2 linked regions of the Drosophila melanogaster genome follow. The gene in region 1 interacts genetically with each later gene. Each region holds a gene or a part of one and is shown on either strand. Other genes may lie near its edges.

What was found. A genetic interaction does not mean that the proteins touch.
Region 2: of Gen (region 1) and mus81, changing one enhances a phenotype caused by changing the other (phenotypic enhancement), as found in Drosophila melanogaster (one study listed by BioGRID).

Annotation. Positions count from the first base shown.
Region 1 is NT_037436.4:5,148,522-5,154,876, reverse strand, and holds Gen (XPG-like endonuclease), read left to right. Parts: upstream 1-2,500; 5' UTR 2,501-2,575; coding exon 2,576-2,733; intron 2,734-2,800; coding exon 2,801-3,107; intron 3,108-3,172; coding exon 3,173-3,462; intron 3,463-3,530; coding exon 3,531-3,698; intron 3,699-3,753; coding exon 3,754-5,011; 3' UTR 5,012-5,028; downstream 5,029-6,355. Other genes in the region: Srp54k (signal recognition particle 54k), read right to left, coding at 420-1,028, 1,114-2,031; AlaRS-m (Alanyl-tRNA synthetase, mitochondrial), read right to left, coding at 5,122-5,524, 5,579-5,799, 5,862-6,147, 6,206-6,355. UniProt on the Drosophila melanogaster protein: Endonuclease which cleaves flap structures at the junction between single-stranded DNA and double-stranded DNA. Specific for 5'-overhanging flap structures in which the 5'-upstream of the flap is completely double-stranded.
Region 2 is NC_004354.4:938,754-943,736, forward strand, and holds mus81 (mus81), read left to right. Parts: upstream 1-2,321; 5' UTR 2,322-2,440; coding exon 2,441-3,721; 3' UTR 3,722-3,853; coding exon of another isoform or gene 3,854-4,043; 3' UTR 4,044-4,476; downstream 4,477-4,983. Other genes in the region: CG3704 (uncharacterized protein), read right to left, coding at 711-923, 980-1,333, 1,399-1,980; CG3703 (uncharacterized protein), read right to left, coding at 3,854-4,043, 4,549-4,983.

The sequences.
Region 1 (6,355 bases):
TGTTTTAGTTGTATGTGTTAGGTCAACAGGGTGACTGGATTTCTGCTTTTCGTTGCCCGAGATTAAACCCAATAAACACAACCAATTTAAAGCCAAGTTCATATATTAATTATTTATTGTTTATATCTAGTTCAATTGCCTTACTGGTATTCTGATAGGCATGCTAATTCCATTAGTTCGTGTACAGAAAACTGTTTAAACTATAAAAACTGACACTGTGGCTGCCAAGCCGTACAAAAACCGAATTTGTTAACTGTTTGCACATCTATATGGGCTTTATAGGCTATATACGCTATATTCGCTTCCACAACGCGTATCAATTTTTGTGGCCTTGGACAAATGGAAACAAATGGCTAACAAATTACGAACTACGCGAAAACAAAATCATATAAAAATCGTTAAATTTACACGCCACCTGCTCACTTGCCACCAAAACCGCTCATCAGGTTCCCCAGGCCACCCAAACCACCCGCAGCTCCTTGCTGCAGTTGCCTCATCATATTTTGGATACCACCAACGCCGCCCATCTGTTGCAGCATCCGGGGATCGATCATCTTCGCTATCTGCTGGTTGAGCTTGGCCATCTGTGTTGGATTCACATTCTTGGTCATGTCGCCCTGCTTGAACAGTCCCTTAACGCCGCCCATCTTCTTTACTACCGCCGAAAATTTCGTATAGTGTGCAATCAGTTCCTTGACCTCGCGCTCCATGACACCAGCTCCCTGGGCCACACGAACGCAGCGGTTTGGCTGCTTGCTAAAGAGCTTTGCTCCGTCGCGATTGTCCAGTTCATTATCCGACATACTGTCCATCATCGTCATCATACGCTTAACGCGCGCCATCGACTCCTGTTCGCCGCCCTTGGTCATAAAGTCCTGCGAGAAACCGGGTATCATGTTCATGAACTGGGAGAAGGGGCCCATCTTCATGATGTTCTGGAACTGCTCGTACATGTCGCGGATGGTGAAATGACCGTGCTTGATCTTTTCTAACAGCTCATCGTTTCCGTCTAGCTTCAGCTCGTTTACCTGTGCAAAATGAGTTTATATTCAGTACGTGTTTTCAATTGTATTGTAGTGCGGTATAATTTTAAGCTCGTGTGGCATGTCTCACCTTATCTATCAGTCCTTCGATGTCACCCATTCCAAGCAGTTTGCTCACGAAGGGTTTCGTCTTGAAGGGCTCCAGATCGTCGATGTGCTCGCCCGTACCGATGAAGATGATGGGCGACTGTGTGGCTGCCACTGCGGACAGAGCTCCGCCTCCCTTGGCGTGGCCATCCAACTTGGTTATGATCACCGAACCGATGTCCACCTTGTCTTTGAAGGCTTTCGCTTGAGCCTCGCAAGCCTGTCCGATGGTGGCGTCCATCACGAAGATTATGTTGTCGGGACTGACGGCATTGGACACTGCCAACATCTCCTCGAACAGTGATTCCTCCTGCTTGTGCCGACCCGAGGTGTCCACAATGATCATCTCGAAACCCTCGCGTTTGAACATATCCACACCGTCCTGGGCAATGACCACGGGATCGATTTCCGTGTAGCTGCCGTAGAACGGAATGCGCGCCTTGGTGGCGTTCTGCTTGACCTGATCGTAGGCACCAGCACGGAAGGTATCCGCGCACACGAGACACGACTTCCAGTTGCGCTTCTGGTAGTGATAGGCCAGCTTGGTACAGGTGGTGGTCTTACCGGAGCCCTGCAGACCCACAAACATGACCACATTGGCCTTGCCCTTGATGGGTTGGTAGGGTTTCACGCCGGGATCGACCAGTTTGACGAGCTCCTTGAACACAGCCGATTGGATCATTCGCCTCTTGTTCAGGCCACCGGCCATCTCATCGAAATCAATAACGGCACGCACATTCTCGCGCAGCTGCTTAACCAGTCGGATATTCACATCAGCCTCCAGGAGCGCTGCGCAGATCTCCTTCAGCATGGAATTCAGTGCCTCCTCATTGATTACGGTCGCCTTGCTGAGCGAGTGCAGCGCCGTTGTTATCTTGCGACCCAAATCCGCGAGAACCATCTTGCCGGTGGTGGTTGTGTGTGGTTTGGCGTACGGACGACTGGCAGCTTCTGAATTTTGTCGGGCCTACTCGCAAAGGGGCAGCTTCAATTCAATATTTTATTTCGACTTTCTTTTGGCTGACACGACACGTCGACGTGGAAGAAGAAGAGACTGCTGACCACTGGCCATTCGCAGCGGTCGCTTGTGCAGCTGTCAAAACAAAGCCCGCTATCGGTTATCGAGCATGCTTCGCAGTGACTGGCGGAAGTCGCAGTGCTGTCAAATGTAGCTAGAGACAAGCTCAAAAAAAGCTAAAAACGAAATGTGTTCTTAAAATCGAATAAGATGACATTTATATGTATAATATTTGTTATTGAAAATAGCATCATGTATTATTGTTAAAAAAGTTATCATTGCCAATTATTGTCACAACTTTGCACTTGGCTGCTTTTGAATATAGCTTCAAGTAGCTAGAAAGTAACTGATTGGGCAACTCTGACGAAGAAGCGATTGTTTAAATTTGTTGCGAATTTCTCGCGGGGTTTTTGTTTAGCTTATTTAAATGGGCGTCAAGGAATTATGGGGTGTTTTAACGCCCCATTGTGAACGTAAACCCATTAATGAACTGCGGGGAAAGAAAGTGGCCATCGACCTGGCCGGCTGGGTGTGCGAATCTCTTAATGTTGTGGACTACTTTGTGCATCCAAGGCATCATTTAAAGTAGGTTTAAAAAATTCTTAATACCTTATATTCTTTTAAAATATTAATATTTACGCTTTACCAACAGGAACCTCTTCTTTCGCACTTGCTACTTGATTTGGGAGCAAGTTACTCCGGTTTTCGTTTTGGAGGGAGTTGCTCCAAAACTCAAGAGCCAGGTGATAGCCAAAAGGAATGAGCTCCAGTTTCGGGGAGTGAAGCCCAAGAATTCGCCTGAGTGCACCCAAAGTCAGCCGTCCAAGGGCGACAAGGGACGCAGCCGGTTCAACCATGTTCTCAAGCAGTGCGAAACGCTGCTGCTCTCCATGGGAATCCAGTGCGTCCAAGGTCCCGGCGAGGCGGAGGCCTACTGTGCCTTTCTCAACAAGCATGGCGTACGTATATCAACTACATCCTCACAAGAACTCTGTACCAAATCCGATTATATTCCTGTCCGCAGCTAGTGGACGGCGTCATTAGCCAGGACTCGGATTGCTTTGCCTATGGAGCCGTTCGTGTCTATCGCAACTTCTCCGTTTCCACCCAAGGAGCCCAGGCAGCCGCCGGCGGAGCTGTGGACATCTACGACATGCGGGAGATCACATCCCGAATGGACTTTGGCCAACAGAAGATCATTGTGATGGCTTTGCTCTGCGGCTGTGATTATTGTCCTGATGGCATAGGTGGCATTGGCAAGGATGGCGTCCTAAAGCTGTTCAACAAGTACAAGGAGACTGAGATTTTGGATAGGTAGTCTACTACATTGTTACATATATTATATTTTTAAAGCTAATAAGCTTTGATTATTATTTCTGCAGAATGAGAAGCTGGCGTGGTGAAACCGATAAATACAATGCCTTGGAGATCCGAGTGGACGACAAATCCATCTGCAGCAATTGTGGCCACATTGGCAAGACCCAGAGCCACACAAAAAGTGGCTGCAGTGTGTGTCGCACACACAAAGGCTGCGATGAGAGTCTCTGGAAGTGAGCTATTTCCTAAAACTAATATAAACATTTGTTTATTAAACTCTTCCCTTAGAGAACAACGACTATCCATTAAGTCCGAGTTGACTTTGAGGCGGAAAGCCCTATTATCTCCTGACTTTCCCAACGAAGAGATCATTGCCGAGTTTCTCAGCGAACCCGACACCATTCCCAATCTAAATCTCAACTGGCGGCAACCAAATCTTGTCAAATTCATCAAACAAATCGGACATCTCTTGCAGTGGCCAGAAATATACTGCTTCCAAAAGTTCTTTCCCATACTCACACGCTGGCAGGTGCAGCAATCGAAGCAGGAGAAGATACTTATCCAGCCACACGAGATTATCAAAAAGCGAACTGTGAAGGGTGTGCCCAGCTTAGAATTGCGCTGGCACGATCCCAGTGGCATCTTCAAGGGTCTTATTCCGGACAAGCAGATTGCGGAGTACGAAGCGGAGCATCCCAAGGGAATCGAGGAACTTTACTACACCATTGAGCCATTGGACATGCTGGAGACAGCGTATCCCGATTTAGTAGCGGCCTTTTTGAAGTCGAAGGAGAAGCCCGCCAAGAAAACCACGCGAAAGAAGAAAACCGCATCTGAAGAGGAGAATAAGGAAAACGAGCCGAATTCGAAACCAAAGCGAGTGGTCAGAAAGATAAAGGCTCAGCCTGAAGAGAACCAGCCATTACTGCACCAATTCCTAGGGCGCAAGAAGGAAGGTACTCCGGTCAAGGCTCCCGCTCCGCAACGTCAGCAATGCTCCACCCCCATCACCAAGTTCCTGCCCTCCGATCTGGAAAGCGATTGCGATGCCGAAGAGTTCGATATGTCGGACATAGTTAAAGGCATTATCTCGAATCCGAATGCCAAGCCAGCACTGACCAACCACGATGGTCACCAGCTTCATTACGAACCCATGGCGGAAGATTTGAGCTTACGTCTGGCGCAGATGAGTCTAGGAAATGTGAATGAATCGCCCAAAGTGGAAACGAAAAGAGATCTCTCTCAAGTGGATCAACTACCGCAGAGTAAGCGATTCTCCTTGGAGGACAGTTTTGATCTGCTGGTCAAGGGAGATCTGCAGAAGCTGGCCAGGACGCCAGTGGAGCGATTCAAGATGCAGCATCGCATCAGCGAAAAGATTCCAACGCCAGTGAAGCCCTTGGATAACATAAGTTACTTCTTCAATCAAAGTTCCGATAATGCGGATGTCTTTGAAGAGTTGATGAACTCCAGCTTGGTGCCCCAGGATCAAGAGGATAACGCAGAAGATGAGGAGGAGGATGACCTGGTAGTGATTAGTGATTAAAGATTCTGAAATTCCTTAAAACTTCGCCATTTACTCGCTCCTCACATGAGCAATTATTCAAAGGGCAAGCTTACAGCTAGCACATTTTGGAGGGTAATCACAACTTATACCTATAGATAAAGCTTAGCGTATGCATGTGCCTTGGACATTGCCTGCTCCAACTGTTCCTCGAACAGATTGCTCACCCGTCGACCCTTCATGTTGCACACGGCCTGCGGATTTTGGCCCTTGGGCGCGGCTATTTGTCCATTAAAGGTGTCGGCAAAGGATTGCAGCCAGGCGGAAGCGTTGAATTTCTCCGTGATACACTTTTCTGGTACACAACAGCGAGCCTTGACCACGCTATCACACACGCTGATTACGAGGATGGGCCGATCCGGGCACAGCTTGGTGGCTCGTTGCAAAGGAATCTCCTCCACGAGCGCGGAACTGGTGATGTAGTGCAGAATGAAGGGGTGTGTGTCCAACGGCTTCTCCTGCAGCAGCGTGCGCATCTCTACGTCCACAAATTCTCTGAAAATGTAGAGTTTAGAAATGGAGCACATTACTTTAATAAGTTAAACTTACTTTAAGGTTGTGCGCGATGAATCTTTTATTCTCTTCAGCATCTCGGTGATGCGTTCCAGCGTGTCCATCTTAAAAGCGTATGGCAGTTTAATGTCCGTGTGCAACATGTTGTGCCGAATCGTCTGCAGTTCCGCCTCCGTAGCGTTTGTGAGTTTGTCAGTTTGGAACTGCTTCTCGAGGAGATCAACGCGGTGTCGCAGCAGGGCAGCCGTTTTCAGCACCTATTTGGAACAGAGTAAGAAGATTAAATGACTAGTCTAAGGCGATATATAAGTCCACTCACATTTTCCGCCGCCTGGCCAGCAACGGCGGTAAATGCGAATCTCGCACGATTGGTTTGCTTGAGATTCACGATGCAGAAGCACGAAAGCTCACTGGTGTTGGTTGCATGCGTTCCGCAGCACAGTTCCTTGGAGCTCAGCTGCAGTTCAGGACTCTCCACGTTGACTAGACGCAATCCCTGCTCAGGATAAACCTCGCCGGGCACCATTGTGATGTCATTCTGCTCCAGAACTTCAGCTGCACTCAGCAATTGAACTTCAACCGGCGCAGCAGAGCAGATAACGCGACTATTGCAAAGGATTGTAAGTTAAATTCATAAAAATTTCTAATATCAGGACGACCCACTTGATCAGATCCTCGATGAGCTGTACATCGGTCTTTTGAATGCGCTTGCCCAGGAGTCCCAGCTCCAGCTTGCACTGATCGCTGCTCACAGAACTGGAGACCTGGTAGGTGACCTTCTTGAAAAGCGATCGGATGGCGGCGTTTAGTAGA
Region 2 (4,983 bases), on another chromosome or scaffold:
TCAAATCAAATGAAACGTCCAGAGATATGAATATTTTTTTGCAAGCGACTACACCTAATTTGCAGCACAGGCAGGCGGGGATGGGGATGGGGATGCAAGTCCGTCTTGGCCCAAAACGCTTGGCGATTCGATTCGATTCGATTCAGATGGGACAGTTGGGCAGTGAGCAGTAGGGCGGTGAGAAACCGTAGCGGGGGACTACTGTTCGTCTATATAAACTGTGTATAACTGTGAGGCATTGACAAGTATTTGAGATGATCTGTATTTTTGTAAGCGTAATATTTAAAGCGGCAGCCAATAACGAGACAACCAAATCCAGAGAAGCAACTATAAAGCGTAAGATATCGGGCGCAGCAGCCAACACACGCGACACACAATTTATTTGCTCAACGCAGTACACACCACACATGATACATACAGCATAAATGTAAATATATATATATTTATCTGCATACATATATATATATACAGAGTAAGTTACGCAAAGTATGAGGCTTGCATTTACATTTACGAGCGGGATATATCCTCCATATGTATATGTTATCACTAATTTGCAAAGCTAAACTAAGTCCATATATACAAACCAAATATCGGAGGTGCAAGTGACGAACACACACTATATTGAATGTTTTTGCTTGTTAAAGTAAATAATAAAAATGAAAACTCGAAATCACGAAATCCATAGCCATCGAGGATCACAATCCGCCCATTTACGGCTGAGCCTGTTCCTGTTCCTGCTGCAGTTTGTCCCGCTTGCTCTGCTGGGCAGTCAGGTGGTTCTGCACGAAGCTGTGGAAGTTTTGTTCTTCGGCGGTGCCCTTCGCGTCCTCCTCCATCTCCTCCTCGTCTTCGATTTCCGCCGACTCGGGCACCAGACTAGGTGCCATTAGGAAAATGCTGTTTCCAGTGTGCGGCGGTGGGTCCTGAAATAGTTAAGACCCTGCAGTGGGTGCACAAATAGCCGAGGAACTGTTCCTACCTGAAGCGACAATCCCAGGGGAACGGCATGGCCGTCCTCTTCCACATGATCCACTGGCTTTGGACCCGTCGCACTCTCCGCCAGTCGCTCTTGGCGCTTCTTTTCGTAAACAGGCTTGTAGTCCGTCTCGTACTCGTCCACGCTTTCGAGAATCTTCGTCAGTAGCTGGGTGAAGCCTACGCCTGTCTTGGCCGAGACGCCGCACGTTCTTAGATTCTCGTAGAAGGTGTCCAGGGTGAGCGACATGGTGCGCGTGAGGTTGCTCACGAAGCTGTGCTCCTCCTCCTGGGCCTCCTGGAAGGCCTCGAAGTCTGTCATCCAATCCATCACAAATCCGCAGTCCTTTAGGTCGATCTGTTTGAAGCGGAAAAGAAGTTTTCTATACATCTGGATATCTGGGTTGCCGGGAAAGTCGTTACCTTGTTCAGCGCCACAAGGAAGGGCAAACGGGTCTTGTACAGGATGGAGCAGGCGTACAGCATGTTGGACATGAAGGTGGTAGGGCAAGCACTGCGCTCCACATCCATTACATAGACCACAATGGTGGGAAACATGGTGGCCAGTCCCTCGGTTATGATGCTCCCGGAAGCCGACCAGTTAAACACCTCGATCTGTCCGGGCGTGTCGATCACACACCACTTGTGTCCGCGCTCGCCAGCGCGACGCACTAGCTCCGCAAACTGTGCCATTTTGGTGGTGAACATATTGAGCGCGGTCACAATGCCACCGTTGGGACCCAGTTGGTACTGCTTCATCACCTCCCGGTAGTTGACCGTGTCCCGTATGTCCACGTGCGCCGCGTACGGTACTTCCCTGCACGCCGGATCCAGGTTGACCACGTACGGATTGAACTTCTCCTGGGCGTGCTGGATGAGCTTCTGTGTGAACGTGGTCTTCCCGCTGCCGGCCATTCCCAGCACCAGTATGCACACGGGCGACTCCCGGATTCCCTCGCTCAGCGACAGCGCCTCCAGCTTGATGCTCTCCACTCCCTCTGCCATTTCTCTCACGGCTTCACTAAGAATCAAAACAAAAACAGGAGGCGCAAAAACAAGCGTGCAGAGGCAGTGTGACCGTCCTATGGAAAGTGTGCTCTTTGCGCCGCCTGAATTCGCTTCAGATACCAACAAACATCAGCTGTTGTTGCTGCTTTTTATCCTGCGTGGAAACATGTCGGCCATTACATAGTTAACACACTCCCTTAATCGCAGCAGCCTTCGTGGAATCACACATCTTCAGTTTTGCCAGTTCAGTTTTTGCTTGCCCGCCAAAAAAACAAATCAAAAAAAAATACCGAAGAGTTTAGAACATACCGTATATATCGAAAGCCATAATAAGCTTTAAACTAGTTGTACAGTAATAAAAATGCCACCACCAGAAGCCGGCAATTGAAGCGCGTTTATTTGCCGTGCATTAGTTTTATTATTTGGCATTGTTTTACATAATAAAAGTTGTGAAGCAATGGAGACCCGACTGGAAGTGCTCTTGCGGGAGCCGAATCCATTGTTCACCCGTTGGCTGGAGCGCTGGCTGCGCGAAGCGGAGCGCCGAGAACAGAAGTCCCAGTTTAGCCTGCGCCAGGCGTTGGAGTCCCTAAAAAGCTACCCTCTGCCATTGGCCAGCGGACGAGACTGTTCCATTCTGCGCGGCTTTGGGGGCACCCTCTGCCAGCTAATCGACGAGGAACTTCGCCATCACAGAGGCCTCCAATTGCTGCCACAGGAGGCCGTGGTTCAGGAGCGCTACGAGCAGCAGGTCCAGGCGGTAGTACGCAAGGTTCAGGAGAAGCAGCTGGAACACCAGAAACGCCAGAATAAATGCGACAGGCCCAGGAAGCTAACCAAAAAAGATCTGGCGGAGCTGGCAGCCCTTGAAGAGCGGGAGCGCGTCGTGCGAATGAAACCAGGTCAATTCCAGTTACTCCTTTTGGTGGATACTCAGGAAACCAGTGGCAAAAACAAGAGAGTTCTGGACCAGACGAGGAGCTACTTGGAGTCCTTGGGAGCCCGTCATGAAGTGCGTCGCCTGACAATCGGCGATTTCCTTTGGGTGGCCCAGGATCAAGAGGGCAATGAACTGGTTTTACCCTACATTGTGGAGCGCAAGAGGATGGACGACCTGGCATCGAGTATTCGGGATGGTCGCTTCCACGAACAGAAGCACAGGCTGCAGCACTGCGGCCTGCAGCACATCATCTACCTGGTCGAGGACTATGGCGATAACGAGCAGCTGGGCCTTCCACTGGACTCCTTGCAGCAGGCTCTGACTAATGCCAAAGTTCAAACTGGTGTCCGAGTGGTGCGCACGGCGAATCATTACCGATCCATGAGCTATTTGGCCGGAATGAGTCGCACCCTTGGCCAGATATTCGCCGGCAAGAAGTTGCACAGCGTGGATCGCGGCGCCATCGACCAATCCACCTGCCTGCTCACGCATTCCGACCTGGGGTTGCTCAAGTTTCGGGCCCTATATGAGGATTCCGCAAAGAATGCCCAGCTCACAGTGCGCGAGGTTTTCGTGCAACAGTTGCTACAGCTGCATTCCCTTTCCCTCGAACGCGCCATGGCTATTGTGGAAAGATACCCCACTCCACGCTGGCTGCTGGACGCATACGCGGAGTGTGCAGACCAAAAGCAGGCCAGGCTACTCCTCGCCAGCATCCCGTGTGGACCCCTGGAACGTCCACTGGGCGACAAGATCAGCCAGTGCCTACACGAATTCTACAGCACGCACTTTCGTTAGGATTAGCAATTGATTTTATGGGACATATCTAAGGTTATATACACGAGTTTATACATAAGTGAGAGAGAGAATACGTTGGACATTGAATAGTGTGATCTAGTCTAAGCCAAAAAATGTACAAGTCAGCCGCCCTTAGATGTTGCGGAAGTGCCGGATGGCCAGGTCCACCGGCAGGTCGAAGTCAAATCGAGAAAGAGCATCGATGGAGCGCAGTGAGTCGCGGAATCCGGTGCGGGCCACGTAGCTGTCTGCTGAGTAGTACGTGTCCACCAGTTCATGGCAGCTGAGGATCAGGTTCAGCCACTCCACCAGCAAATGGGAACTGTTTGAAGGAAGAGAAAAGCATTTCGAATGAAAGAAGTGTGATAAAAGCCAAGGTAAAGGTCTATCCCCGCGTCCCTGTTAGCCTTATGCTTAAATTAATTCGGCAGACTGCAAAGTCAAAAGCTACCTGCACCTAGCTAAATATATTAATATTTACATATTTATATTTACATGTTAAAGCAAAAAATCGATTAAGCAATTCATTGATAAAAAAGTTTAAGACAGTAGAGAATTGACATTACCGCAGAATTGCTGATAATTGCAGTAAGAATATTTTGATTTTGGACACTTGTAATTATAAAAAGTTTGTGTGTCTCTTGCTCTTTAAGATTCCTCTTTGCCAGGAAAATAACTATAAAATGAAGATTTGAAGATGTAAAAGGCTAGTGCTTCAAACTATGCACCTGTAAATAATATGGTATTGCAAAGTTATGCGGCTTGTAAATTCATCTTAACTAACATTCCTTCGATTTCCCAGCGTTTAGCCCATGTAAATAACTCACTTGAGTCCGGCGCAGACGAAGGCTTTAAAGTGCGCGTTGTTACTCCGTTTGTATGGACGATGCATTGCCAGAATCATGCCCACGGCGCTGAGCAAACTTTGCTTGGCGGTCACAGCCTGCGCGTCCACGATGTCCAGCTGGAAGCTCTGCGACAACTTTCTGGCAGGCGTGTTGTTGTACTCCTCGCCGTGTTTCAACCTATAATAGGCTAGTACTAGTTCCCAGGCGTGCATGGCCCTGCCCAAGCCGAGGAACTGCGAGTCTCCTCCGACGGCGGGCGGCACTACCGGAGGCCCAGGGTGCAGGCACCTCATGAAGGGAACCATCAAACTGGAGGCAGCCGATTCCGCTGGTATGCGAAGTCCGTGTTGTATAAGCTGCTGCAATGTGCGGGCAAAGTTCTTCCGCACAACCGTAGTCAATTCCCTGCCAATA